4 linked regions of the Alligator mississippiensis genome follow. The protein of the gene in region 2 purifies or fractionates together with the protein of the main gene of each other region. This does not show direct contact. Links are inferred from orthologs where the notes say so. Each region holds a gene or a part of one and is shown on either strand. Other genes may lie near its edges.

Region 1 (7,635 bases), on a different chromosome or scaffold from region 2:
GTGAGGGAGGGAGTAGGGCTGGGGCAGGTGCTGCCCAGCCAGGGCAGGGCACAGGATGGAGCCGTGGGCAGCTCATCTAGAGGGAGTGGGAGAGGCAGCACCTACCGCTGCATGCACCCCTGGGTGAGGTATGAGGGGCACATGCCCCCAGATCTGTGCGTGGGCTGAGGGCAGGCTGCAGGTTCGGGGCCAAGGATTGTGCTGGACTCTTCCCGGTGGGGATGCTGCAGGTGGGTGCGGAGCAGGTGGAGGCAGTGGTGCTGGGAGGGAGGAGGGTCTACGGACCAGCTACAGCAAATTAAGGTGGCTATAACCCCCACCCCCACTGTAGTGCTGTCGCCCACTGCAATCCACTTGAGCACAGCCCTGGCCCAACCCCCACAGCTCCAGGGGGCATATGCCCCCCATACTTCCCCCAGGGTACACACAGCAGTACCCCTACCCCCAGCTGTGCAGCACCTGCCCCTGCCCCCAACCCCCGACACCACTTCCCCTCAACAGACTTACCAGCTGGATGCCAAGCTGCCAGACTGCATATCAACAATTGCATTGGTATCAGCCGATATGGGTGGTTAATAATCGGCCATCAGTATCGGCCCAAAAAATCTTTATCAGTGCACCCCTAATTTAACCCTTCTGTCCCTACAGAGTATCCCTACAGCTAACACATTAAACTGACTGACATGTAGCTCTGTCACAGTCAACACAATTAAGTATTAATGCAAATTACACCACCCAGTGACATGGAAAAAGGAGGAAAACGTATACAGAAGCCAGACTCTTCTGCTCCATGGCAGCAACTAGTGACTAACTGATGGAAATCAAGAAGTTTCTACACTGGACTAGACATACTGTTAGTTCAGTCTACCACAGCAATACATTCTCTTTCAAATCATGGCAATACATCCCTACATTAACAAGAAATGAACAAGTTCCTTATTAGCCAAATTCTGATTAAGCCTGAGGTTTCTCTTTTGATTTTCCATTTTCTCTCCAAGTAAATAGATGGCTTAACACAGGACTAAATAGTAAGTCTTCCAACTCTCCCAAAACTTGGTGTGTGACCTTGCCCAAGTTGCATCTTTGATGTCTCACTTTCTCCAGCCATTAAATGCAGATGCTATTGTACTCACCTGCTTAACAAGCTATGGCAATAGACTAGTTTTCAAACAGTTACTGGGAAGGCACGGAAGTATTATTATGGAAGACTTTTGTCATGTTTTCAGTCTTACTATTTGTAAAATCTTTTTATGACTTAAAATAAAAATAAGCTAAATCCTTGTAGACTCACTGGACTTCATCACATCAATGTATTTAATTATCTTTCACACAACACTACATGCCTAAATACTCTAAGTTTTCCTTTAACTACTAAATTTCCTAGATACCTTCACACGTAGAAAACTCAGGCAGGGTATAGGCAAATACCAAGTTAGCATTGACACTCATGGGGATCCACAGCAAAAGGAACTAACAAGCATTGACTTAGCCTAGCAAAACTACCATGGCCTGAAGTCCCAGGTTTGCTGACTCCACAAAACAGCTGTGGCCAGCAGCAGAAAGCAGAGCCAACATATGGCGTAAGTGATTGCAGACAAGAAACGCAAGAAAAACCAAACACGCTTAATATTTTCTTTCATTTGGATTTTGGAAAGAAAGTTTTGCCAATCTCTCTATCTTAGCTGATTGCTCTTAAATAACCACATTCATCAAAACTAATACGTGGACCAATGATTGACGATGATACCTTAAGCTTTTACTAAAAACAAAAAGCTTTGGCTACAGACAGGTTACAGGTGATGTCAAATCATCTGACCTAAGCAAACATTATAATTTCTTCCATACCATTTCTGCAAGTAGTCCAATGCCTCCAACCGAGCACCAATCTCGAAGGTGATCCCAGGACGATTGGGAGGTTTTTTACTCATCTTCGTAATGTCTATCCTCTTCTCCTTTTTTTTCCTACCTTTAGAGAAGAATAGTGGGATATTACAAAGAAGGAAACACTGCTTAAATCGCACGCGGCATCCTAAGCAAGCACCCTGCACGATGTCTATGAAGAGATATAAACCTATCGGAGATTTACAGCCGTTGGTGAATCCCGGCAGCGCGCTGAAACGGAAACCTTCGATAGACAGGACGACGTAACAAAAAAAACCCCAACCCCACGGAAATGCACTTTAACCGCTCCCCCAAAAAGCGGAGAAATCCTCAACTCAAAGAACACCTAATTTTCAAAGCAGTAAACCCAAGTGTTGGGACTACACTTAACCAACCCCCAGCTCCCTCGACCGCTTCGTCCTCTTACAACGTTTTCCTCGCCGTCACGTCGAGAGGGGCTTTACGGGGGAAGAGCGAAAGGGGTCGGTCCACGCGCGGAGGGAACGAACAAACGAAGCCGACCCATGCCGGCGAGCTCGAATCTCGACCGCCGAGAAACACGGGCCCTGAAAGGGCTGCTCTCAGCAACAGGAGGGGAACCCCTTCAACCAGTGCCGATGGGTCGGGGCAGCCCCCAAACCGGCGGGCAGACGCCCAGACCGCGGGGGGCTCTGGGCCTGTTTGGGGGGCACGTGAGAAGACCCCTTCATGGAGGGGCCTCTCCGGCTCTTGCTGGGCATGAGGGAAGGACATGGGGCGCGGGGGCAGGGCGAGGGGGGACCCCTGAATGCGCCGGGGCCCGGTCTGGGAAACGTGCCCCGACCCCGCCGCGACCCCCGGGCCGGAGGGGACGCGTATGTCCCGCCGGGCTCCTTACCACCGCCGCGGCCTGGCCCGGCCCGGCCCGGCCCCGCGGGCCCCGGCTCGGCCCGGCCCGGCCGGAGGTGTCGGGCCCGGGCGGCCTCCCTCAGCAGCGCCCCATCGCCCCCCACCCGCGCCCCGCGCCCGCCCGCCGCCGGCCGGCCGCTCCGTCACCTCCCTGCGACTCCCCGCGAGGCGGGGCCGGGGGCCGCCATCGCCGCGTCACGTGACCGCGGCCGCCCCGCGCGACGCTGCTTTACGGCGGGGGCGGGGCCGCGGGCAGGAAGGGGCCGGCCGCGGGGCGGGGCCACGAGGGGGAAGCGGCCTGGAGGAGGGCGGGAGTGGGGCTACGGGAGGCGAGTCACGTGGGCTATAAAAGGCGGGCGGGAGGTGCGGGGCGGCAGTTGATGTGGGGCGGAGCGCGGGGAAGGAGTGGGCTGTGAGGGAAGGCGTTCTCGTGGGGGGTTTCAGGAGCCTCTTCCTTGACCTCCCTCTTCCCGGCTGCCCATTTTCCGGGAACGAGGGAGAACCCCCCACCCCATGGGGCAATAACAGAGCAGGTGTTTGTAAAATTAAGTGTGGGATCATTATCCTTAACGTGAATGTCAAAATAATTCCTGTGAATTTTAATTCATGTGTTTAATATATTCAAAGAAATTTAATTTGTTGCCCAAATTCAACGTGGGATCGGGTGGATGCGTTTGGCCCGTGCGTTAGTACGACGCAGCCGTCGCCTTCCCGACCTTGAGTCGGTCGCAGCGTCGCGGCGTGGCGTCCCGCCATAGATTCGACCGGAGACGGCGGGTGGCTCTGCTGCTCGTGTGCGGGGACGTGGCGGGGCGGGGATGCTGGTGTGGAGGCAGCGCCGGGGGAGGATGTTTGATAAAGGCGGTGTTGGTTTCTCTGTTTGTTTAGGGTTGGCATCTGCGCCACCCACAAGAGTCAGAAGAGGCGGACTCGTGGCGGAGCTCGCAGTCTGGTGCTGGAGCCAGGAGAAGAGGCGCGAAGGCGTCTGTGCTCCCCGTCTTTGGGAACGGCAGAAGAAAGTCAGGATGCTTAGACACCCGCTCCCGCTTCTGAAATCCTTCGTGAAGTTGGGCCGCACCAAGAGCGTTCAACAGGCCGGATAGGCATGCTCGCTGGATCTGGCTGGTGGTCCCCATCTGGCCTCCTGGGGAGCGGGCAGTCCCTGATCCAGCCACCGAATGGAAAGGGACTTGGCCTGGCTTCAGCCAGGTCCTGTGTGGAGAACAGTGTGCGAGCAGCCCAGACCTAATTCACTGACACTGGGGGGGGGGGATTTGGCCTGGTTCCAGTCCTCCACAGGGGGCTTGGGAGAGGTGGCTGTATTAATTAACAGTGTTCGTATCATTGGCACCCATGAGCTAGACAGTTTCCAATCCAACCTTAATAAGCAACATCACTATTGCACTGCCCCCGACACACCATAAAAGTCAGGCAGCTCGTACCTCTCCTGCTGCTTGCATCTTTCCAAGGAATAAATGAACGGTGCCTGGTCTATACGTGTCCCACAGCGTGTGTCCTCGGCATGCTGCTGCAATGGTACAGCCTGGGATGCTGAGAGAGATGAAATTGAGTCTCCGTCTCTTGTGGAAAGTCAGGACCCAATGGGTATGTGTAGCTGACTTCACATTGCTAGTAGGACATCGGATGCAAGGAAGCAAGGCGGAGGCACGTTTGGATTCCTTACTCCCTGGATCGGGATGCTGCCCCCTTGTCCCAATCTGGCTCTGTATTTTGAGCACAACTAAAATACACCTACTGCAAGTTTCCCTCGCTTTATGCGGGTTCTGTATAGGTAAATCCATTCTTATGCAATGCCCCTTTTTATACCAAAAATTCATTATATGCGAGGTAAATTCACTCTTCGATTGGTGTGCTGGAAGCCCACAGTCAGCTGCTTTATGCAGTGCATTGTGGGAGTGACACGCATCAAAATATAGTCTTCTTTGTGGATCTGTGTTCCTCGCTTGTTTGCGACACGTGTTTCTTTAGTTGCCATCCCCATTATGGTAACTTTCACCACCACCCTGTGCTTGTGTGTGCTGTCTGCTGTTGGTGAGTGCCAAAATTGTCTTGTAAAAGTGGTAGAAATGGGTCTGGGGGTCAGTACAGTCAAGGTCTTGGAACGTATCCCTATTTGTTATATTGTAAAGTGGGTTTCCTTTATGCAAATTCAAGTTATGTGCTATTTTCCAGAAATGCGTGTACAACATAAAGCGAGGGAAACCTGTATATTGCACACTAGATATGGTAAGGGGGAACTTCAGGCAGGCATATGCTATTTACACAAAAGTGTCTTCAATTTTACTAAAGCACACAAGGCCTAAATTCAGGGCATCATCCACATCTATATTGCAGACCAGGTCTATAAAGTATTATATCTGGCAAAGCAGTGACTCCCAGGAGGACTTAAGGTGTTGGGATGGCTAATTTGCTGGACACATGCATTTGCTTCCAGTGTTGTGTGTTGCTTCCAGTGTTGTGTGTGGCTACACTGCACTTGAGCTTTAGTTTGTAGAGCTCTGAACTAGGCATGTACATTTTCTGAGTGCTTGTATCTACTCCTTCCTTCCTCTGTGGTAGTAGTTATGAGTTGAAGCTTCCAGTTATGAGTTGGAGTGTAACCCTGACTCTCCCCTGACTCCCACCACGGTGCTGAGCTCTGTGGGACTGGCAATGCTGCCCAGGGCACAGCCCAGTGGCAGGAGATGGGGGGTGGAGGGGGGGGGAGGAGCCAGGGCTCTACCCCAACCGGCTCCGCCAGCCCCGTGGAGCTCAGCCCAGTGGCAGGAGGCAGGGGAGAGCCAGGGCTGCACTCCGTTTCCTGCCGCCGGCTGAGCTCCGTGGGGCTGGCAGAGCCACTCAGAAGGAAGCCCTGGCTCTCTGTCTCCTCCCGCTGCCTGCGCTCTGAGTGACTCCGCCGCCACCACCACGGAGCTGAGCCTGGTGGTGGGAGGCAGGGGAGAGCCACTGGCCACTAAAAAAAAAAAAGTAAAAATACTCATGGAAGTGGTGAAATATGTAAACAATTGCCACAAAAGTTTGTATGGAAGAAAGTTTGCTAGAATAGACCATATTATTTCCCTACTGTGGCATCTTGGATTCAAAACTTCTGAGGGACTCCTTTGCTACCACATACATCCCTGAAACATGGAAGATGCTGAATTTAAATCCAAAATTGGCTAAAACTTCATTGCTGAACAACCAGAAAGATTTCTATGCCTCCTTGCCTTTCTGCCACCTGACACCACCAAGGAAGGAATCCTGCCTTATCTGCATATCAAAGAGCAAATCACAAAGACACTCTCATGGAGCCAGAGGAACAAACTTCCACCTTTAGCTTCCTCTGTGCAAAAATGAAGTTTATTTTCTACCTATAGGGACTTTCTACCATCTTTAATTTTCCTTGAGTCTAAGGAAGGGCACATGTACCTGAAAGCTTCCAGAAAAAGATTTTTTTTTCCCCAATTTATTTGTTGGTCTAATAAAAAGTATCATCTGTGAACCAAGAGTTCTAGAGTTTTGCATTCCAGGATGTGTTAACTGCACTTAAAACATTAGCATCTATTGAGCATTCAAGCAATAAAACAGGTGCTAGGGGCCACCATAGCATAGCAACATTAGGACTTTTCCAGTGACAAGTAGCTCCAGATAATATTACCTAATAGGTGTTGAGCTAACACCTGACTGTTCCACAGAGGTAATATAATGAGGAAACTTGGGTGCAGTTGCGGGGCTGGGACTGACAAACAGCTATTTATCAATCCCAGCTCCAGCACCATACTGAAGTCTTCAACAGCTCCGGCTCTTAAGACAGGTTTCAGTTAGATGATGGTAAAGGTTACGATACGCATGCTCGGAGAACTTTATGACTCTCAGTAACGCTTACAGCAATCTAGACAAAACCTGTCCTAAGTGTAATATGCAACAAAGACCACAGTAATACTTTTTTATTCAACCACAATGCTAACAAATGCCAGTCTCCATCCCAAGAATGCGATTAGGGCAAACATCAAACATTGCAATGAGGAAGTCAGTGGGAGCTTTTGAGCTGCCTAGAAAAAAGGGCTTGGAGCTTTGACCAACAATATCATCTCTTTTTTGGTTGCCACTAGAGGGGAACGGGACTTTGTTCTTTGTAAGTAAACAGGCTTACATCAGGGAAACACCTGATCTTATCATTACAGTGTCTTCCTTTTTGGGGTAACTCATAAAACCAAGGTTTTGGCTAAGCATTCAAGTTAAAAAGAGGTAGCAATCTTATTCCTAAGTCACCGTATCTATAGAAAAAGAATACTTAAGTGTTGGTGCTTTTTAAGGAAATATAAATGTCTGCATAAATATCTAAAGCCATGTTTCATCTTACCTAGGAAACAACCTGGGCCGCATAGCTTTAAGCTAGCATTTTATTAGTGCTGCCACATCAAATTCTTGGGAGCGTTCAACTATATAATTGAGATAATGAGCTCCTCTCAAAACTTTAACCAAGGTGTCTTTTTTGAGTCAAGTCAGATCTAAAGACATATGGATCTAAAATAAGCATTGTATATTATAGTGGTAATACTTGAGAAAGATTAGTGAAACTTGTAGGTTTATATGATAAGGTTTTTTGGCAGAGAAGAATTTATGAGAATCTAACAAGTTGAGAAAAATCAACAAAGGAGAGTCATCTGAAGTCTAAAGAGTGAAACAGCATTTGAAAGCACGAAGTAGAGCTTCCTTCTGACAAAATGAAAAATGGATATTGTTTGGGTATTTTTTCTTAAAAGAAAACTGTTCAAACAATTCAATTGGCAAGTTTATTAAATTCAAACCCAACATGATGTTTTGAAGCTCCTTTTAAATTAAATTAATGTTATAGAATTGTGG
Region 2 (6,990 bases):
TTCACCCTGAAGACTAAGCAGGAAGGGGCCAAGCTCAGCCCCTGGATGGGAGACGAGCCAATGCGCAGCAGGAAGGGGCTGAGGTGGCCCCCCAGCTGGGAGCCCACGCCCGTTCACCTGAGGTCCTTGATGGACAGGGTGCCCCGGAAGTCCCGCAGGATCTCCAGGAGCACCCAGGACCAGTAGCTGCGGTAGCTCAGCTTGCCCAGGTCTGAGAGCGGTTTCTCTGGCGACCCCACCGTACTCTCCAGCTTGGACAGCTCGTAGCCTGCAAGGGGGTAAGAAGACGCGGAGAGGGGCTCAGGGCCCTGCTTCCTCTGGACCAACCTGGCCCTGTGATGCTGGGGAAGGAGACTCACTGAAGGCAATGAGGAATTTCCCGTAGCCCCGTCGCTGGTAGGGGGGCAGAGTGAGGATGCAGGCCACGTTGTTGCCGTCCGGAGACTCTTTCTCCTGGGGGGGAGATGGGGCAGGAAGAGTGTGACAGAACCCAGGCATCTGGGTCCCTACTCTCGTCACCTCCCAACAGCACCCAGGCAGCTGGGCTCCGTCCTCCTGCTCTCACCCCCAAGCTCCAACTCCCCTTGTAGCAGTGCGATGAGAGGAGCCGCTCACTGGTGGCAGCAGTGGGGAGGGATATCGGGCGGGCTGTGGGGGAGGTGTCCAGGCTTGTGCCAGCCCCCCACCCCGAGGGAACCCAGGCGTCTGGGGGGCCAGCCAGCACCTTGGAGAAGTAGCCGACAATGTGGGCACCCTGGCGGTCAACCTCGGTGAGGATGTAGAAGACGAAGGGCTCCACGTCGAAGTAGAGGGTCTTATGGTCCAGGAAGAGCTTGGCCAATAGGCACAGGTTCTGGCAGTAGATCTGGGGGGGAAGTGTCGGGATGGGAGAATCCAGGCTCTCAGCCCCCCACTCCCCCGCCCCTGCCCCTGCCCCTGCCCAGAGAACTGGTGGGAGCAGTGGGATGAAAGGAGCTGCTGACTGGTGGGATGTGGGGGGCACTGCTTGAGGGGCTCCCAGCTCCCCCTGCTCCCTCCCCCCCATCCCACAGAAGCCTGGCATCCGGGTGCCCTCCCCCGCACTGACCTTGTGGTCTTTCCCGTCGACCTCGTACACGGAGATGTTGCTCTTGCGGTAGATCTCCCGCCCCGGGGGCTGGCGCCACTGGCACTGCCCCTGCCAGAGTCAAGGGCCGGGGTCAGGCCGGTGCCCCTCACTCCTGCCCCGCCCCCTGCCCCAAACCCCGCCCCTCACCAGGTGGAAGCGGTAGGTCTTCTCGAACTTCATGTACTTGAGGCAGTACTCGCAGATCCAGAGCTTCGGCTGCTTCCCATAATCCTCTGGGAAGGGCGAGAAGTACCAGGCGTCGATCTCGTAGTGCCCGATGTGGATCTTGTCCACGTACTTCACCTTGGTGATCTGGGGGGGGGCGGGGTCAGCGGTGCCCCTCCCTCCCGGCCCGCTGCCACTGTCCCCGCGGTGGTACCCCTCGCCCCTGACCCACAGCCCCCTCAGAGCCTCTCACCGCCTCGTGCTCCTTCTCCAGGGCGGCCGTGGTGGGGTCCATCTCTGCGTAGGTCTGTGGGGAGAGGCAGAAGGGGGGGGGGGGGGCAGAGACAGCATCAGGCTCCGCCCCCCTACCCCCAGAGCACCCCCTACGGGGCAAAAAAAAAAATGACTACTGTATTGTCTCATGTAGACCACGCCCCTTTTGCCCAGCACCTGCCAGCAAAAGGATGCTACCCTATTGTCTCCTATAGCATAGGTCACTTTCCACCTCTCTACAGGGCAAAAGAAAGCTACCGTATTTTCTTGTGTAGATGTGCCTCCCAACTCTCACACAGGCCCTGCAGGGCAAAAGCAAGCTACCGTGTTTTCCCGTGTAGCACACATCACTTCCCACTTCCCAGACACCCACTGCAGGGCAAAAACCACCCCAGCAAAAACAGCTACCGTATTGTCTCACGTAGAAGACACGCCTTCCAGCTCTCAGGCTGGGAGCTACCGTATCTTTCCTATGCACCGTGCCCTTTTGCCCCCCGCCTGCAAGCCACATTTTCTCGTATGCAACGTGCACCTTCCCCCTCCCTTCACTCGGGGAAAGGGGAGCTGCCGTATTTTCTCAAGGAGAACATGCCGTCCCCCGAAGGAAAACAGAGCGGTTGTATTTCCTGACACAGAACAGGCGCGCTTCATCTCTCCCGCACCCCTGGAAAGCAACGCGGAGCGACCGTATCTCCCCGCGTAGGACACGCATGCTCCATCTCGCACGCGCCCCCTGCAGGGCAACGGGAGCTACCGTATTTCCTCGTACACAACGCACGCTGTGACCTATGCCCCCGCCCGCCCGCCCGCCCCCACCTTCTGGACGTGGTTGATCTCATCGTGCTTGCGCTTCTGGTTGCGGGTGATCTTGCGCTCGGGCTGCTCGGCCAGCTCGCTCATGTACTGCTCCGTGTTCTTCTGCACCGCGTCCTTGACCGTCTTGGTGAGGGCCAGCCGGTTCTTGTCCACCCACTCGTCCAGGCGCCGGTTGACTGCGGGGCGGGGCGGGGCGGGGCGGGGCGGGTGAGAAGGGCGGGGGGGGCGCAGGGAGCCTGGGCCCCGCCCCGCCCCGCCCCGCCCCGCCCGCACTCACAGCCGACATAGTGCACGTAGTACTCCTCCCGCGACTCCTGCTCGTTGATGCGGGACTGGATCACCTCGGCCGAGTCTGCAAGCAACGGGCGCGCGTCAGGGGGGGCGGGGCTACGTCACGGGGGCAGCCCCTGACGTCACTGCGGGGTGTCCTACGTCACACTCACGCCAGGCCCCGTCGGCGCGCCGGCACAGGTAGGTCTCGCCGATCTCCACCGTCACTTCCGCCTCGCGCGGGCCGGGCGGCGGGGCCGGGGGCGGCGCTGCTGCCGCCCCCGGCCCCTCGGGCCCCGACCCCGACCCCGGCCCGTCCCGCTCCGCCGCCTCCGCCGGGCCCGCACCCAGACCCGCCGCCGCCTCCATGGCCCGTCGCGCCGGAAGTGACGCGCCGGCAGGGGCACCGCCCCCCTTTCGCGTTCTGGGGGCGCGTGGTAACGTCACGGAGCGTGCGAGAGGGAGGGCGTCACGTGAGGGGGTGTGTGTGTGTGTGTGTGTGTGTGTGTGTGTGTGTGTGTGTGTGTGTGTGTGTGTGTGTGTCCAGCAGTGTCCCAGTGTGCACCGCGGCCTCGACCCCTCCCTTTTGCCCCCAGGAAGCAGCGGCGTGCTTCTACCCCAGTTGCGCGTCGTACTCCAGACAATACGGTACCCAGCGATACGGTACCCGCCCCCATCAGGCCCTAGACACCCCCCGCCCCCCCAATGGACGGGCCCTACCGTAACTTCCCGTGCGCGACACACGGGGCTCCCAAACTCCACCAACTACCGTATTTCCCCAGCTATAACACCCCGCCAAAAATAACACCTGCTTTGGAAAGGCGGGAGGGGGCGAGCACGTGCACGTGTGCGTGTTGAATCAAATCCAATCGGATTCATTTGCCGCCGGCTACTGTACTTCTCCAGCTATAACCCCCCCCCCAACATAAGACCTGCTTTGGAAAGCCGGAAGGAAGACAGAAAAAGAAGAGCGAGAGAGATCTGTTTAATCAAATCCAATCCGATTCGGTTTCAGGCTGCTTTCCATCGCTAATTTTCGGGGGGCGTGGTACACGAGTCTATACGGTACTGAAAAGATGCCCCGCCCCCCTTCCTTGCTCTCGGCCGCCCTGTTGGTCCCCTCTGGGGTAACCCAGGGCTAGCAGGCCGGCGTCGGGGTGCCGTTAGTGCCGGGGCTACGGTGCCCTCGGCCCTGGCTGAAACGAAAGGGGATCGAGTCTGGCGGGTCACACGCGGCCTCCCACGATGGGGGGCGGGAACGGCAACTCCCGCAGCCTGGACTCAAACCCCCCCCCCCCAGTCTTGAAGGTCCCCCTGATCCAATAGGAACAACCTCAAGCTTCCTCTGGTCCAATAGGAACCTCCCAGAGAGGAAGAGGCCAACAGAGAGTCCAGTGCGGAGGGAAGCCCTTCTCAGCTCCCAGCATGCAGTTCTGCAGCAGAGGATCATGGGACGATCGAGCTGGGAGGGATGTGACAGGTGCCAGGCGGGACAGCCCAGGACACAACCGACCTGGCTCTTGCGAATCTCCGGGGATGGAGACGCCGCAACTCCTGAAGGATCATGGGAAAGTCGGGCTTCCCGTGAGGTCACCGAGGCTCTTCCCGAGGGCGAGGTTCTCCCGGGTGAAAGCATCCCGCTCCAGCGTCTCCAGCCTCTCTACGTGCCTCCTTCAATACTCGACCACCTCACGGCCGGCAGTTTCCTCCACCTCTCCAGCCTCAGTTTCCCCTGCTGAAGCTTGGGGCCGTGGCTCCTAGTCTACGGCCACCCATAAAGACCCAGAGCTAGACACGGGGGAGATGTGAGGGGCTCCTTGTCTCACGTGTTTCCCTCTGAGAAAGGACGTGTGGAAATTGGGCGTGCGCGTTATAGGTGAGAAATATGGTAAGAGCAGTTCCCTAGCCCTGGGGCAGCAGGGATGCTGGACCACACGGGTTGGATCTGGCAGGGAAGGGGAGGAGAATACCATAGTCTCTCAAATACAAAATGACCCATTGGTTTCTCCCAATAAACAGCAGAAACTGCTCTTACCGTATTTCTTGTGTATGATGTGCACCCTTGCTCCCAAAATGGGAAACTGCTTTTGCTGTATTTCCTGCGTATAACATGCACCCTTGCTCCGGAGCAGGAAAACTGCTCTTACCGTATTTTTTTGCCTATAACATGCACCCTTGCTGCCTCTGGGCTAGGTTCTTACCGTATTTCTCAATTTCTCACCAAAAAAGCACATTCCTAATTTCCACCAGCTATGTTTTGGGGGGGGGAACGACACACTCTTATTGTATTCGTCACCTATAATGTACACCCATGCTGCCCTGGCTAGGTGACGCCCCTTACAATATTTCCCAGCTACAACGCGCATTCCCAAATCCCTCCTGCTGCGTTTTTGGGGGGCAATATTTTTTCAAGCCGTCTCCGGGATGGGCACGAGCGGGTTGGCAGTGGCCCAGGGCCCCACGGCCAGCACAGCCATGGGCTCCTCCTCTTCCTCCTCCTCCTGGCTGCCCCCATGGTGCAGCTTCTGGTGCCGGGCGAACTGGGTCTTGTAGCGGAAGCGCTGCCCACAGGCGCTGCAGCCGTAGGGCTTCTCCCCCGTGTGCACCCGCCGGTGTTTCACCAGGTTGGAACTGACCCCGAAGCGCTTCCCGCAGTCTGGGCAGGGGTACGGCTTCTCCCCGGTGTGGGTGCGCTGGTGCTCCAGGAGGGTGGAGCTCTGGGCGAAGCTCTTCCCGCAGTCCCCGCAGGCGTAAGGCCGCTCGCCCGTGTGCGTGCGCCCGTGGGACACCAGGTGGGTCTTCTTCTTGAAGCGCCGGGCGCAGAGCCCGCAGGCGAAGGGCTTTTCCCCAGAGTGCGTGCGGAGGTGCTTGAGCAGGTTGGAGCGCAGGCCAAAGCGCTTCCCGCACTCGGGGCAGGGGTAGGGCTTCTCCCCCGTGTGCGTGCGCTGGTGCTTGGCCAGGTTGGAGGTGCGGCTGAAGCAGCGCCCGCAGTCGCGGCAGGCGAACGGGGTCTCACCCGTGTGGGTCCGGCGGTGCTCGGCCAGCGTGGAGCCACGGGCGAAGCGGCGCCCGCAGTCCGGGCAGGGGTAGGGTTTCTCCCCGGTGTGCGTGCGGACATGCTCAGCCAGCGTGGACCCACGGGCGAAGCTCTTGGCGCACTCCCCGCAGGTGAAGGGGCGCTCCCCTGAGTGCACCCGCTGGTGCTCCAGCAGGTTGGAGCTCTGGCTGAAGCCCCGGCCGCAGTCGGTGCAGCGGTAGGGCCGGGCCCGCACCCGGGGCTGGGGCTCCAGGAGGCCCAGGAGGTTGATGAGGCCACCTTCGGCCCGGCGCCGCCGGCGTCTCACAGGTGGCACGGGGGCGTCCTCGGCTGCATGGGCACCTGGGAGGAGAGAAGGGGGTGGATGAAGGAAGGATGAGGGGCTCTCTCGGCCCCGCCGCCCAGCCTTGCCTAGCGCCCTTGTGCTCTCCCACCTGCTCTTTGCTCAACACGGAGCCAGCGGCCTCAGCAGATCAGGTGCTGGTGGCCAGGAGCGGGATAGGCCTCTCCTCCGGCTCTGGGTTGTGGTGCCCAGACCGGGTACGGACCCGTCCCTTGCCCCTCCGCTCGACTTGGGGGTCTGGTCATGCCTGGGCTGCTTGGGGGGCTGGGAAATATCCGCCCCTTCTCCCGGTTCTCTGGGCTGCCGCCAATACCTCCCTTCTTAGAAGGAAGAAGGATGTTTCCTTCCCTCCGGTCCCTCCTGGGGTGCCGACACCCCCACCACGAGCTGGGTCTGGTAGCCAGCAGCACCCACCCCCAGGGAGTGGGTTGGGGCTGCAATTTGCCCTCAGTGACGGGGGTAGGCTACCAGACCTGCCCCCCAAGATGCCCGGGCTGCCCCGGGGGCGTTGGGAGCTGGGCTCACCTGCTCGGGCGGCTCTGGAGACGTCCTCTTCTCCCCCCCCGACTTGGGGATCTGGGGTGCTGGGGGCTTCACCTGGCTCCATTGGGCTGGTCCTCCCAGGTAGCTCCGCCTCCTTTCTGGGCAGTCCCACCTCTTCCTCAAGAAGCTCCGCCCTCCGTGCTGTGAGCTGCAGGGGGAAAGTCGGAGGGTCACAAGGCAGTGGGGGTGGGGTGCGTCATGTGCAGTGCGAGCCCAGTTGTGGGCCGGTGTTTTGTGTGGCTGGTTCCTCTGCTCTCCCCCAGAGCTGGTCGCATCTCAGTCCTTTGGGCAGTGTTGCGTGTGGCTGTAACCCCTCCCTCCTGCTCCCCCCAGAGCTGGTCGCATCTCAACACTTCCTTGGGCACTGTTATATGTGGCTGTAACCTGTCCCTCCTGCTCCACCCCAGAGCTGGTTACGTCTTAACTCTCTCTCTG
Region 3 (7,469 bases), on a different chromosome or scaffold from region 2:
TCCTATGTATGACCCAGACTTCAGTAGAATTAAATTTGGCCTGTCTAGCTTAGATGGGGAGGAAAAGAGAACTGGATGTCAAAACAATGGAGAAAAGAAAGAAATCCAGCCAAGGGCAAGATTTTGGTTCTTTCCTATTTTAGGGTCCTTAACCTTTTTATGATTTCATCTTAGGTTTTAATTAAATGCAAATATATTGGCAAAAGACAGCTGTAGACCTTACATCATTAGTGCTATTTACAGGCATCCCACATCTTACGCGGGGGTTACGTTCTAAAGGCAGCGCGTAAAGGCGAAAATCGCGTATGGTGAAATCACATATTACCATGCCAGCGGCGACTGCCTCTGCCTCCAACACCTCCCGCCACCACTGCAGAGTCGCGCCTATAGTTGTGCGGCTGGCGGCAGCAGTGCAGCACAGGGTGGTGGTGGTGGGGATGGCTGTGTGCCACCTGGCCACCACCGCACCTGGCAGCTGGCCACACAGCTCTGGGCACGGCTCCATGGCGGCGGCGGGAGGTTTTGGAGGCAGAGGCAGTCACCGCTGGCAACGTGGTGGTGGCTGGGCCTCCAGGTAAGCGGCAGCGCCACTTGCAGACTCAAGCCCCACTCCCCACCCACGTATAGTTGAATTTGCGCAAGTTAAATGCACGTAAGATGCGGGATGCCTGTATATAATGCTCTACTTCTTCAAAGCAAATATGTCAACAAAGAACACGGTAGGCATATACAAGCATTTGAAAAGTGTATAAAACAGGGAAAGAGACCATTTTTATGGTAGTTATAAAATTTTGGGTGTGTCAAATCAGTGTACCAGGAATTCCAGGTACAAGACCAGGAAAATTAGGCTGAACATCAAGCACACACATACAAAAGCAGCTGCATGTGTTAAAAAAAATTCAAAAACACTGTAAAGAACCCAACATTTCTAGACACATTCCCAAATCTCTATTTTAGGATTATCTGCCATAAAGAAATTACAAAGGGAACCCACTTCTTAAGTTTCGTCTGGACATAAATAACAATCTGATTCCTGAACAGAGCCTGTAAATACCATGATGATTTTCACAGTTCAGATAGTTCTGAATGTTTAATAGATCTTTAAGAAAAATATGCCACTACAACTTTGAAAGAATGAGAGGTCCTACCTTGCAGACCATCTTGGAAGAATCCATGTCTACAGCGGTTCAGAAAAGGCTCAGGATGGAGGAGCAAGGGAGTTTAATTCTTCCAGGTGCAACCATGCACTATTAGCTTATTTTAAGAAGTGGAAACTTGGTATCTAGAACAAGAATATATTAAGACAGAGGAAATAAATATAGCTTACAAACAAAACATACATGACAATATTCAACTTGCCTCAAGAAAAAAAAAGATTTTGAGGATATGATTAAAAATATGTCTTGCCACAAATATGGAATATAGTACACAAGTGAGCTCTACAATAAATCACAGCAAATTGAGCACTGACACATTCCAGTACCTTTTAAGCCAAAGCAATTGAAAAATACAAAAAAAAAAATCTGTACAGGGTATAGATCAACAATTTAAGTAGAGGATCCAAAAGAATGTGAAGGAGATCAAGATTTGAGTGCCTAACTTCCTCAGACTCATAAAAACCACATTTGTTGAATTTCCCTCTGTATTACCTGAACCACTTAATTTCCTATCATATTTAATAATCTGACTTTTGAAAGTAAAATGTTTTTACCATGATAAAGACTTTAGTGAGGAGCAAGAGGGGAAGGTGTGTGCACGTGTTGGGGGGGAGGAGGGGGGAAAAAGAGGTGTTAAAACAACCAAAAAAAACCCAACTTTCTGGAGTGCTTCCTGGAAGTTTTAGAATGATATCATAGCTGGCAAAGCTTTTTTCTAGTTATATTTTTTTTTAATTTGACCAACTATAATCGGGACCAAGTTAGACAAGCTAAATGCAAAGCATTCATCTGGAAGCTTGGAATTTGATAGTTTTGTTTAATTATGTTTGGGTAAAATGGGGATGCCAAAACAAGAAGGGACAACAGACATCTTTTCTACCTCATTTCCTCAAATGTAGTGTATGAAGCCCTTAGTCCTATGCTGCTATTGCTCCAGCAATGCCAGCTCTTAACTTCTTTTGCTTCTGAAAATTGTTTAGCTGTTGTGGGGAATTTTTTTCCCCTTGTTTTACAAGCCATCAAAATGTAAAGCCTGATTCAAAACCACAAGGGCTGAAAAGCCCCAAAAACTCAAATGCCCCATTCAGGTTCACTGCAGTTGGGAAGTTACAAGGGAACTGTGTGCCAAGCACTCAAAACCCTTTTCAAATCCAGCACGTTAAGGCAGACACTTTTTAAAAGCCTGATCTGCAGGGAGGCAATCCTGTGGTTTCTTGGCACAGGCCTGGTGCAGAGAGGAGCCCTCTGTGCCGGATCCCCTCTGCCCCATCCCTGCTCCCAGCACTTGGCCTGCTCCCTTCTCCATCCCCATTGTTGCGAATGCAACAAAACAGCTCTTCCTCTGGCCGCGGCTCTCCCCTTCCTACTCCCATGTCACGTCGGGCTTCAAACTTCCCGGTCTCCCTCGCCCTGCCTTTTCCTCCGACCCAACTCACTTTCTGGCTGTGCTGGAAGCAAACCCCTGTCCCCTCCCCCCGGCCTCGGCCTGCTCAATTCGCTCCCAGCAGCCGCTGCCCGCGCGGAGCGAACCGGACCCGACGCTCGGCGGCAGGACCGGGCTCAGACCGCGAGCAAATAAAGTTCGGGCCCTGCCCGGCCCCGGCCCCAGCCCCAGCCCCAGCCCGGCCGCCTCCTCGTGCAAAGTTGCCGGAGCGGGCGGCGGGCGCTACTTGGCCTGCTGCTGGCTGGGGCTGGGGCAGAGGCAGGAGCAGGCGGCGGGTGCCCTGCGAGCCTCACCCCACCACCAGCCCGACCCGGCCTAGCCCGCCCACCCGCGGCCCCAGCCCAGCCCTGTCGCCCGGCCCGGGCGCTGCCCCGTTTTCCTCCCGACCGCACCAGCCCCAGCGACGACTCCACATCCCGCACCTACCTGCACCGCTCAACCAGCCTTGAAGCGGGGATCTTCCGCCCTCCTCCGCGCTCATTGGCTGCGGGCAGGGCATGGGCCGCCGGGGTTGGAGGAGGGGGTGTCAGTCAGAGCCGGGGGCGGGGCAAGGCGGTGATTGATGCGGGCGCCTCGCTGGTCCCTGCCTCCGCTTGTGCTTCCCCGAGATGTGTGAAGGGGGTAGGGGGGCAGGGCCCGGCCCCTGCCCCTGCCTCAGTGTCCGCGTCCCGCGGGCTGCGTGCGGCGGGGAGGGGAGATGCCCCCGGCGGCAGGGGAGCCTCGTGCCCCTGCTTCTGCTCGGGGGTGCCCAGACTGCCCCGCCTGAGGGCCGCAGGCCTCCGCCGGGGACACGGACACCTCCGGAGCTCAGAGGCTTTCTGAGCAACGACACAGTCCATCACGCCCCACCTAGGCCCGACCAAGGAAGGGAGATGGGGGCAGCTCCCCGCGGGCAGCACCAGGCGGCTCCGAGCTGGGCGCCATGGGGAAGGAGAGCCGTGTCAGCAGGGCAGGTGGCCCTGGCCATCCAGGGCCGGTCCCTGTTGCTTTCCCAACAAGCAGAAAGCTGTGTTGTCCTCCTTTGGCACAAAGTGTATTGGTCATTGCCCCAAAGCCCCGCCACCCAAAGGAACTACCAGGGCAGCCGGGGCAGTTAGTAACGGCAGTTAGTCAGGGCAAATGGCAGTTAGTCAGGGCCACAGGCAACACGTAGAGGGGGCACCCCCCCCACCCCCCCAACAGCAAGCGCTCCGGCTGGTAGGGGGCACAGAGAGTGCTAGTGCCCCCCAGAAATTGGCTACCCGCCCCGTCGTGCCCCACTGGTGCCCCCCCAGACTCGGGAGGCACCAGTCACCCATGGTCAGGGCAGTGCAAATGCTTATCAAGGATTGTTTTCCATTGTTAGGACTCTCTGTCCTTGGAGGCTTTTAAGGCCTGGCTAGACAAAGCCTTGGCTGGGATGATCTAGTTGGGGCTGGTCCTTCTTGGAGCAGGGGGCTGGACTAGATGACCTCCTGAGGTCCCTTCCAGCCCTAGCTTTCTGTGATTTTATGAAACCAGCCACCACCTGTACAATACTCTGATGTGAGCAGCCACTGCTGCAGGAAACAGCCAGATAGAAGCAGGCAGGGCTACAAGTGGCAGGCCTATAGACAGGTTTGCTGCCACTATAGGTAGCTGTTAGACTAATATTTTAGCTGTTTCTCCTCTGTCCCGCTGCAGAAGTGGAAGGCAGATAGTAGCAGAGTATATACTAGAGGGACAAAAGTATAATTTTGTACCTAAGTAGGACAAGAGAAGATAAATATAGGTGAGATAGTGGTAGAGGAGGAAGAGCTAGGAAGGGGTGAGACAAGGGGAATGAAGAGAAATGCTACCAATGAAGGACAGAGAGGAAGAAGAGAGAAGAAAGTGGAAAGAAAAAAGACAAAATAACAGCAGCCCCAGTAGGCACACAGTGACAATATAATGATAACAGAAGAGCAGGTAATATAATAATACCTAGCGTCTCTGCAGAATGTTCAAATTATGGCTTTGCAGAGTTGGAGGATTCTGCACATAGTAGCCACATGAATATGTGGCTGGCATATGTTAGCACAGGCTAAGCCACGCAGTTAGTTATGCAACCTATGTTAGCTCTGGGTAAAGGGGTTAAGAAGTTGCAATGCAACACTATGGAGAGAAGAGAAACAGGACCCCGTGCATGGTTACCACATGTGCACAGTTGTCAGACTGTAAAACACTTTCAAACAATGTTTTTAATGTGGTATATAATTGCTGGGATGGGTAATATTTAATGACATTAACTGTCTTTGTGACTTTGGTGTGTGTGAGGGAGTTTCAATCCATCCCCTCATTCGTATTAGCAATAACCCGTGATGTGTTTGACACAGATATCCCTTGACCATCAAATGATACCAGATACCATTAAAAACCTGCCACTGGTTCTCAAAGAGAATGGTCATGACGATCATCAGGATCTTTTCCTTGTCTTTGCTGTTACCAGTGTCCAGATGCACCTGGCTGTCACAGCCTGAGACAGCACAGTTCACAGGTACCATCCTGACTGATACTGAGATAAATACCTACCCCTTTCAAGACACATTGCCAAAGCCCTCTATATATATTTCCTTGCATTCAACTGAAACTATTCTTTTCCCTTTGAAAAGTGATTATTTTTTCCCTTTAAAATTGTGGTTGCTGTTCCAACCGTTCTGTTTCACAAATGAAGATGGAAAGCAGAGCTAAGCCAAGGAGAGGACACACAAGGATAAAGGGCAGGGTGGCACATTAGAGAGGTAGGTAGCTGTGTTGGGTTGTTAGTCTGTTATGCTATCCTGCCCTACCTCCTGTCAAACTTCAGACTAGCATGGGTAACTGCTTCTTTCTACAAGGAAGGATGAGAAGCTGAAAAATTCTGTAGTTCCATATTTAATCCTCTGGTTTTGGTCATGGCCACTCTAAGAAAATGGTGCGTTCACAGTACTCATTCGAATCCTATTGTCAGGAAATTTTAGCCAGTGGTTATCCATCTTTTTATATTACCCCTCACAAAATGCTGGTTCTTAGGTTAACGTTTTGACTACTAAAAAATAATAGAGCAAGTCTTCTGTTCTAAAAATCTCAGAAAGAAAATAACAGGTCAGAATCTCCCTGATACTATGGATACCCATTTCAAATCTCTGGGTTTATCTTGTGACTCATGTATTTGCACACCTAACAGTTTTCAATAAGGCACAACACCCTTAATATCTGTGGGCCCCTGTTTGTGAATCACTGTTCTATTCTCTTCCTTAGAGTATATGTCTTAAGACATATATAAGGCCTAAGGCTAAGGCCTTAGGCTTATATATAAGGCCTAAGGCTTATATTGTCAACACTGGGTGCATCTACACAAGATGCTTTGCTGTGCAGTTGAGCAAATTACTGCACATTAAGCATCCGTGTCTACATGTACAGATGCTTACTGCACAGTAAACTGCTCTAATCACAAGCAAATTTGCTACCTGCAAATACAAGTAGCAAATTTATTCTCAATTAGTTACTGCGCAATAGCGCACATGTAGATGCTGACCAGGAGCAAATTTACTCCCAGTCAGCCCCACCATAAGGGGGGCAGCCTCAGGCTAGCCCCAGGGCCCTGAGGCTGGGAGCCTCTCCTACCCCAGGGCTGGGCCAGCTCTATGCCTGTCCCAGCCCCAGGGACTGCAGGGACGCTGGGGCTGCAGGGATGCTGGGGCTCAGGGGCATTTCCTGGCAGCCCGTGGCCACTGCATTCCCCAGGACAGGCTGCCTGAACCCCAATGCTATTCCCTGGCACTGCATCACTGCATGGCTGCCAGGGCCATGCCATCCAGCTGCATAGGGTGCTGCAGGCATCTAACAGGCCTGGCAGCACCCAGGCCCACCTATAGCCAGCTTGTGGCCACTGGGTGCTGCAGCTATCCAGATACCATGTGAAGAATTGCTGCAATACAGAAGAAAACCCCCCACGAATCACACACCACTGCTTATGACGTATCACCCCTCCCTCGAACCTATATGGAAAATCTTCAAACAATTGTAACCCATACTAGAAGGAGACCCTGTTCTTAAGAGATCTTCCCAGAACTACCCATCCTAGCCTTCAAACAAGCACCGAACCTCACTAACTTCATCACGAAACGCAAACTTCCTAGGGCACAAACCACACCAAATGGATCCAGACCATGCCATGACAAGAAATGTAAATCCTACCAACACACCTCCACCACCCCCACACTTACTACACTCCACAACAGAGCCACCAGCAGTCCCAGATCTTACAGCTGCACATCCAAAAATGTAATATATCTCATCCAATGCACCAAACGCTCTGATGGAAAATACGTAGGAGAGACCAAACAACAACTGCACACCAGAATGAACGCACACTGGAAACCTAGATGGAACCAAAAATACCCAATTACTGGTGGGGGGCAAATTTCTCACATGAAAACCACTCTCTTTCCAATCTCTCAGTTCTAATCCTCAAAGGGAATTTACAAAACACTTTTCACAGATGAACTTCACTTCACTTGATCAACCTCCTGGATACAAAAAATCATGGACTAAATATAGACACTGGATTTATGACACATTATAACCTGCCTGACATCTGACTCCCCAGGTACCTCTCCACTATTTACCTGCTACATGCATCCCTCTCTCCCTCTCGCCACCAGCCTCTCTCTCACCCACTGACTCCTCTATTTACATCTTCACTGACTGCATTTCTTGCATGCATACCAGGCTCTGGCTTCTTTACTATTCATTCCATCCAGAAAGAGCACACACCAACTGCAGATGCTTCCTCAGCCTGATGAAGGGTATTTAAACCTTGCTTAAACTTAAAACTTGAAGATTGATACAAATAATTTTTCCAATTATCTGCGCTGGTCTAATAAAAG
Region 4 (7,620 bases), on a different chromosome or scaffold from region 2:
AGGAGCCCAGGGAAAAGCTGAGTGCAGGGGGGGGGGGGCAGCCCCTCCCCCGGCCCCACAGCCAGTACCTCACGCTGCAGCTGCTTGCAGCATGCATGGGGCTGTTCGGAGCAAGCACAGGCAGCCCCACACAGGCTGCAAGCAGCTACCACGCAGGGCACTGGGTGTGGGCGGGCCACTTCCTCCCCCCCCCACCACCTTCCCCTCAAAGGAAGATAGCATCCTAAAACTAGTATTTTCACTCATTTGCTACTAGTACTTACGTAATAAATTGTGTTGGTGACTTGAAATACAGATCATATATTTTGCTGGAGAAGCACGTTTGGCCCAGAAAGGTGTGTACCACCCCCTTACAAAGACCGTGAATAACTGGAGGTAAGACTGAAGACTCATCATCGCCCCTGCAATATGCTTGCTTCCCCACACACTTCCACCAAGCAGACAGCTATGAACCCTCATTTTATAGAATGAAGCCTACAGATCTAATGGCAATCCATAAAGTTTGTGTATTCCAAACTATATAGTCCATGTCATCTTGTTTTGTATTCAAAATTACTACTTTATTCCTGGGAATCACAAGTTCAAGAAATCTAACAAGTTCTCATTTATGTCAAATACAAATATTTAAGAGATCAACAAGGAACTGAGAGAACTAGAGTAAGAAGTGTTTTCAGGGAAAGAACACAGAGAACCTGATCAGGACAAAGAAAAATGGGCATTTGGTATAGCGCAAGACTTCTATTATCACAGTTACTGCCTGCATTCAGACACGTGTGTAATAATGAATCCATACTTATTCACAAATGAAGATTTACAACCTGGAATAATTTACTCTCAAAATGATTAAGGTAAACAGTCTCATTTCCATTGAGAAAAAAACACTAACAGACAAGTAACAGGAAAAGAACACTGGCTGCTTGCAGATATAGAAAAAAAAGCAAAAAAAACCCCAAGACACACACTTTAAACTTAGTGCACTCCTGCACTGAGCCCAGCACATGCCTAGAAGAGGCCTCGCATTAATTCAACCCAGCTCTGCAGCATCTATAGATTGGGCGCTTTACTGTGACTTGTTGCGGCTTCTACCTAATAGCCAATTGAATCAGCTTTAGATAAAAGCGACAAAGCCCTGCTAAAGCGCCTTATCTATACAGATCCTGCAGCGGCCAGGTCGTAATAATGCGCTACTGCTTCCAGTAAAGCATTGGGGGGGGAGGGATTGTTGTTGTTCAGACATGTCTGAAAGCAGCCATTAAGTCTAACTTCAAACTTGGTAAGTTTCAATTAAGTAAAATGACAAAATACTTAGCTTCAAATAGAGCTGCAATTTTTTGGTGTACTGCACAATATCACACACTACCTAAAATTCCATATCACATGGATGTTTCAAAAATGTAAATTACAATCCATCTTGATTTAATTTATCCACTCTACCAATAATGGAAGTGTGCTTGAAAAACGTGTTATAATTTTAGTTAAAGTTTCTTTAAAAATCTGGAATCAGAATAAATCAAGGGCAGAGGAATTTTTCCATGGTTTTCCAAAGTGAGAAGTTAATTATTCAAAGCTAAATTAAAAGATGCATACTGCTTTCTAAATATTTTTTTTCCAAAAAAACCCACAAAAAACAAACCTCTCTAGAACTCTTGGTTCAGAGATACCTTGTATCAGACACTACTGCCAATCTGCTTCAATTCTTAACTAGCCTACCTACATTACTAATTAGGATGCCTTGCTTGAGCAGATTAAATTTTCCTGAATGCCCTTTTTGTTCTGTAATCCAACTCGTTTTTGGTTGCAATTTAATTTATTCAAGCCTTCTAGAACAGCAGTTTTCAACCTGTGGTTTCCAGACCCCTAGGAGTCTGCAATCTATGTCTAAGGGGCCTGCAAAAGATGATTATGATGAATCAAAAATACCCACACTTAAAATTCAAAGGGGTCTGCAAATGAAAAAAAAGGTTGAAACCCACTGTTCTAGAAACTAGAACTTGGTGTACTGGTCCACTCTGCCAAGGGGCCACAGGTAGCTGCTGCGATGCATAGCTAGGTTCTTTGACAAAGGCAGTGTAAGGAAAGTTAAATGAGCCAGGGGAAGGCACCAGTTCGGGATTTTGCCACTAGAAGACCCGTTCTCATAAAAATCCTGCTCAGCGGAAACGCGGGGCGTGTCTTAGCTTGCTTTTGCCGCCCTCCTCCTCTGCACTTAACTGCAAAAGCACAGGCCGGTTTACAAACTTTCCAAACAGGCTCCATTTTGCCCCCAAAACACCCCTTCCCGCTGACGTCACCCCAGAAGAGGGGGAAAAGTCTTTGTGCCACTAGCCGCTACGGCTCCTGCGTCGCCGCAGTCGGACCCGCCGCGCCGCTCTCGCCCCTCGCTGCTGCTCGGCAGCCGCCGGGCTCGGGAGGCAGGGAGCGGCCCCGGCAGCAACAGGGCAGCGGGAGCTCCCAGCCGCAGCGCGGCCGCGCCGCCTCCCGCGCTCGCAGGGGCCATGTGAAGGAGCCGCAGCAGCGCGGGCTCTGCGGGGGCGTCCGGCGAGGCCGGGCCCCAGTCTCGCCGCCGCCTGCGCTCGGGCCGTACAGACTCACCTGTCCGCGCGGCAGCTCCGAGCGACCCGGCCCCGCGCACGGGCCGCCGCCGCAGTCAGGGAGGCCACGAACGGCGCCCGGCCCGGTCCAGTCCTCCCCTCCCCACTTTGTGGGGGCGGTGCGTGCGGGTCGGGATTGGGCTCGGCCTGCCTCCCCCGCCCGCAGGCGGCCCCGGAAAGGGGCTTGACGAGGCCTGGGTGCTGCCGGCTCCTTCCCGAGGAATCTGCACGGGACAAACTGCAGAGACAAGGGCACCCGGACACACGCCCGCGCCACCGGCCAAGCAACGCAACAAAATGGCCGCCACGGCTGCGGCCTCCCGGCTCCCCGCGGGCTAGCGAGCGAGGCGGGTCTCGGGGGCGGGACCGCAGGGTGATCGCGAGGTGAAGGGAGGCGCCGGAGCCTGCGGGCGGGGCGGGCGTATGGAGGTGAGACCATTTGTTCGAGAACTTCAACCTCGTAGAACGTAGGATGAGCAATTGTAAAAGTGTCCAAAATGTACGATAATTTTTGAGGCAGCTAATTGGTACAGCGTATGCAAAACCTAAGTCACTCTCAGGGAGCTTTAACTGACTTCTGGGTTTATCAGCACTTTCTTATTATTGCTTGTCTCAAAATAAAGAAATGCTTCAACTTTAATGACCCAGTTTCACCCACTTGCTGGCACTTACAGAGAGTAATATAAAGTAAATAAGAAGAAGCCTTATTTGCATATTTTTCAATGTATGATAGTTTTTCAGCAAATATGATAGTTTTTAGCTTTCAATACAATCATTTCACAGTTAAGACCTGGCAACACTGTTGGGCACTACCCATGAGTGCCACATGCCCCCAGAGGCTGGGGAGGGTGTGGTGAGCTCCTGCAGGTGGCAGGAGCGTGGCAGCGACAAGCAGGGAGCTCCCACAGGCAGCCACAGCATAGGTGGGGGAGTAGCAAGTGCCAACTGCCAGTTGGCAACCACCCACAGATGCCACCAACAGTGTCAGCAGCAGCCAGCGGTGATCAGGGACCGCCGGCAGACAAAAGCAAGGGGGGAGGGGGGTGATGACCGGCAACCGCCCGCAGGCACTGTCAGCGGCCCTTTTGGCAGGGGGTGCACCGCCATGCTCAGGGGGTACACATGCACCCTCATGCACCTCCTACACATTGCCACTAGTGTTGCCCAGTACAGCCCCTGCAGTGCGCTCAGCACCACCCCTCCCACCCCTGGTCATCAGCCCTAGGGCATCTTTGTATCCTGGGAACACAAGCCTCTGGGTCAAGGAGCCAGGCTTGCTGTGAGGGAAACTATGCAACGCATCAAGGCACTAAACAGAGAAGCACTAGCATTACCCACCCTGGGGTCTTCTTATTAAATAGGTTCCTTCTGGGAACTTTGGTTTATCCCCTGGTGGCATCCAATCCACAGCCTGACCCGAGGCCCCCAGATGGCTCTGAGAGCCTCTGTCTTCTCCCAGTTGCAGCTAGCTGCTACCCTGCTCTTTCATGCTGGGGCACAGTGGAGGCAAGCTGAAGGGCATGTGGTTGTACAGGATGCACTTGCCCCTGGGTGGTAGCTAGATCCAGTGACCTCCTTGGTGCTGGATAGTTAGGTGGCTGGAGATCCCTGGTGAGAAGACAGTTTGCTGTTGGTTGAGTGGATGTAGGCTTCAGTGCTGATCTTGGGTGGATGCAAGGATGAAACCACTGGTATATCTCCATGCAGACCCATTAATAGACCCCAGGTTGCCACCCTCATCTGTCACCTCTGGGCAGCAGAGTTCTGTAATCAGGGCAATAGTGGCTTCACGTTCAAGAGGGTTGGGAACTAAGCTGAACCACCATGTTGTAGGATGCTTGGAGGACCAGCTGGCCAGCTTGTCCCAGGATGATGTCCTGGGACAACTGTTCAGACATCTGTCATGATATTTTGGAACAAACAATACTTATTCCACAAATCTTTTCTGGGGTGTTGTCCCATGACAACTGACAAAGACAATTGTACTTGGTCCTGGGGGACAAGTACAATTTGAACACTTGGTCCTGGGGGAATATGTTTTCTTCCAAGACAAATGTGACATCTGCTTGTAGCCGTAAAAACCTGCAATGACAGAGAGATTACTCAGCCTTTTTAGATAATTGGTTCTGGTGCCTATTGTCAGCACAGTGTAAGTAAGGCTGCAGCCCCTTGCATCCTGTGAGACTGGGCCATGAGGACACAGACTCACCCACTTCTAGCACTCAGCGGAGGTCACCCAATTCTTACCTGCCACATCTTAGTGTTGAATATGCCTTTGTCAGGAGGTGCTCTATTTTTGCTGCATGAAGTCCTAGATATGCTGGTTCTGTTTCTTCCTTGGGGTTTCTACCTCCCTTATACCCACTCCAAGCACCACCCCATTGTTACAGTGTATGTTGTGCTCTCAGTGAGCTATCTTCTTCCATTCTTTGCTCCTGTGTGCCTGCATTTGTCCCAAGCCTGGCTTAAGGGGACTGCAGCTGAGCCAGCCTTCAAATCATTTGGTCACAGCTTGATACACAGAAGAGAAATGAAGGACAACACAAAACAGGGAAACAGAACTCAGGTAAGTCTCAGCCCCTAGGGTCATTGTGGCTGGAGGCCACTAACCATGAGGTAATTCGGTCCTTAGGGCTGCAGTTCATTCCTAGGTGCCCAGCCCTCACAAATAAAAGGAACACAAAAAGAAATATGTCAGTCTCCCTGATCCTTTTCATCTACATCTTAGGCATTTCTCAGCCTTGGATGCTTCACCATCTGTCATCAAGGCTTCAGCAGCACCTGCCAGCTCCCCAGGCGCAACAGGCCAGCCCACCCACCCTTATAGACTCAGCTCCTTGTGAGTGTTGGAGTCGGTTCACTTACCCATGTGCTTCTGGCACAGGGCCAGCACTGCCTTTCTCTTCGCCTCTTTCAGGTGGTGGCAGCCCAGCCTCCCAGACTCCGTGGCAGTGTAAATGAAAGTAAAAGTAACTGAACCAAGAAGACCTGGAGCCTTGCCAGCTCCCATGATTGCCAATTCTCTTGGTATGTCTCCTTGCCAGAGGCAAATTAAGGTATACTGGCGCCCTGAACAATCACAAAATTGGAGGCCCCTTCCCACCATGGGAGCTGGGTTGCAGGGGGGAGGGGCCCCTTCCTCTCCTAGTGCTGGTGGGAGAGGCTAGGTGGACCCTGCCAAGCTGGAGGGCACATGCTCGCCTCTTCTTCCTGCCCCCACTACAGCCAAATGTGCACACACAGGTGTACACAGACACACACAGGCATGTGCACTCTGCCCTCTCTGCACATGGACACACACACACACATAGACAGACAGACACACACACACACACACACACACACACTTTCCCCTCACTCCTGATCACATGGAGGCAGCCCTCTGTCCCCCCTCCCCTCCCCTCCCCTCCACCACCCTTCCCTCCCCTGCCACAAGCTGCCTGCAGCTCAGTCTCCCTCCCCGCCCAGCCCAGGTTACACAGACCTGCAGGGAGCTGCTGCTGGGATGTCCTGTGCAGCCCCGCAGATGCAGAGGGCCCACTGGGCTAGGCCAGGAGCGCCACGCCATGCCTCTGCAGGCAGGCGGTGGCACTGGGAGGGGTGGCTGTGGGGGGGCCAAGATGAATTTTGTGGGGCTATAGCCACCAAGGTCTTCCCAGCACTACCGCCCACAGAGGTGCAGTGCAGCACTTCTAGCCCGGCCCAGCCCCAACCACCCCCCTCGCTAGGTGGGGCACAACTCTCCCAGCCTGTCTCGGCCCCCTCTCTCCTCGACATGGTGCCACTTAACCCACCCCTCCCGCAGGCGCGGCACGGCGCTCTCAGCCCAACCCCAGCCCTACCGGACCCTCCCCACAGCCCCATTGTCACAGGGGCCCCACTTCCAGATCCCAGGGAAGAAATGTGAAAGCCACAGTTTTAAACTTGGCTCCAAAGATAGGCGCAGAGTTTAAAACTGCGGCTTTCACTTCCCTGCTGATGAGGATCCCGGGGCCCTAATTGGTAGGGGCCCCTGGGCTCGTGCTCAACTGGCCCGTGCATTAATCTAGCTATGCTTCTCGCCGGTGCTCCCTCCTGCTCCCCGCCATTGCAGGCTCTGTGGTGGCATTTAAATTATCAGGGCCTCTCCAGGCTCCCAAGGGGAAATTCCACCTGTTTTCTGCTGCCCAGAGTTTCTTCACCAGCATCTTGGCAATCCCAGGGCTCTGCTCTCATCTGGCATCCATCCCGTTCTCTTTCCAGCCCTGACAGAAGGCCAGAAGTACTAGCCCCGCTGCAGGCAAGGCCTATCCTGATGGAGCAGCTGATGATAAAGTGGGGCTCCCAAGACAGCTGCTGGTCCCTCGCTGTTGTCAGCTGTGGACAGATCAGTAAGTTTCCTCCAGCTGCAAGCTCAGAAGAGTTTTCTCTCATCTCTTCACACTAACCAACTTTATAGCATAGTTCTTCCTAACTTAAATCTTTGTTGCTATTTAAACTCAATACTTCTCTTTCTGTTCCCCATAGACATAGAGAAGAATTGATTACCATCTTTTTAACAACCTTTTTTGCAGTTTTACAGCAGCACTGAGTACAACCTTTGTGAGGGGGATGCACAAAAAATAGCTGCCACTGCAGCAATGACTGACTGCACCCCCATGATCAGAACATGTATTGAGGCTGCCCCAGGTATTTATTTGCTCTCTTACACCTCTGTGTGTTTAGTTGAAGACTATTCAGATGTATTCATCACCACTTTTAATACCTCCTGGTATGCTATTAACATTTTTTTTGTAGTAATGCACTCATGTTTAGTTTGTGATCTTTGCGCATGTCTTTATTGAATTTCATCTGATTATTTCAACCCATTTTTCATACATGTAAAAGGTAATTTTGAATCCTGATACTGTCCTCTTGATGTTGAGGACAACTCAATGTTGCTAGATGGACGAGAGGCCCTGTGTTCCTGATACTTGTCCAACGGCAGGCTTTCACCCCAAAACCCTGCCCCTATCTGGGGTAGAGGCTTGTCGTCATTCTATGTTTTTTG

The links.
Region 1: the proteins of KAT8 (region 2) and PHF20L1 purify together in Homo sapiens (affinity purification with mass spectrometry; 3 studies listed by BioGRID and IntAct, with this or other methods). This does not show direct contact. The link is inferred for Alligator mississippiensis from reciprocal best matches to the Homo sapiens genes KAT8 and PHF20L1.
Region 3: the proteins of KAT8 (region 2) and KANSL1 purify together in Homo sapiens (affinity purification with western blotting; 4 studies listed by BioGRID and IntAct, with this or other methods). This does not show direct contact. The link is inferred for Alligator mississippiensis from reciprocal best matches to the Homo sapiens genes KAT8 and KANSL1.
Region 4: the proteins of KAT8 (region 2) and PHF20 purify together in Homo sapiens (affinity purification with mass spectrometry; 3 studies listed by BioGRID and IntAct, counting the BioPlex papers as one, with this or other methods). This does not show direct contact. The link is inferred for Alligator mississippiensis from reciprocal best matches to the Homo sapiens genes KAT8 and PHF20.

Annotation. Positions count from the first base shown.
Region 1 is NC_081826.1:14,352,510-14,360,144, forward strand, and holds the start of PHF20L1 (PHD finger protein 20-like protein 1), read right to left. Parts: upstream 3,005-7,635; 5' UTR 2,958-3,004; coding exon 2,917-2,957; intron 2,859-2,916; exon of another isoform or gene 2,759-2,858; intron 1,967-2,758; exon of another isoform or gene 1,963-1,966; coding exon 1,846-1,962; intron 1-1,845.
Region 2 is NC_081830.1:855,192-862,181, forward strand, and holds the start of KAT8 (histone acetyltransferase KAT8), read right to left. Parts: upstream 3,017-6,990; 5' UTR 3,002-3,016; coding exon 2,806-3,001; intron 2,715-2,805; coding exon 2,640-2,714; intron 2,539-2,639; coding exon 2,363-2,538; intron 1,581-2,362; coding exon 1,527-1,580; intron 1,421-1,526; coding exon 1,256-1,420; intron 1,178-1,255; coding exon 1,088-1,177; intron 866-1,087; coding exon 725-865; intron 454-724; coding exon 360-453; intron 269-359; coding exon 118-268; intron 1-117. Other genes in the region: zinc finger protein OZF, read right to left, coding at 5,041-6,011, 6,538-6,703.
Region 3 is NC_081827.1:158,971,404-158,978,872, reverse strand, and holds the start of KANSL1 (KAT8 regulatory NSL complex subunit 1), read right to left. Parts: upstream 3,010-7,469; 5' UTR 2,994-3,009; intron 2,883-2,993; exon of another isoform or gene 1,283-2,882; 5' UTR 1,149-1,282; intron 1-1,148. UniProt on the Homo sapiens protein: Non-catalytic component of the NSL histone acetyltransferase complex, a multiprotein complex that mediates histone H4 acetylation at 'Lys-5'- and 'Lys-8' (H4K5ac and H4K8ac) at transcription start sites and promotes transcription initiation.
Region 4 is NC_081832.1:36,719,429-36,727,048, forward strand, and holds the start of PHF20 (PHD finger protein 20), read right to left. Parts: upstream 3,004-7,620; 5' UTR 2,593-3,003; intron 1-2,592. UniProt on the Homo sapiens protein: Methyllysine-binding protein, component of the MOF histone acetyltransferase protein complex.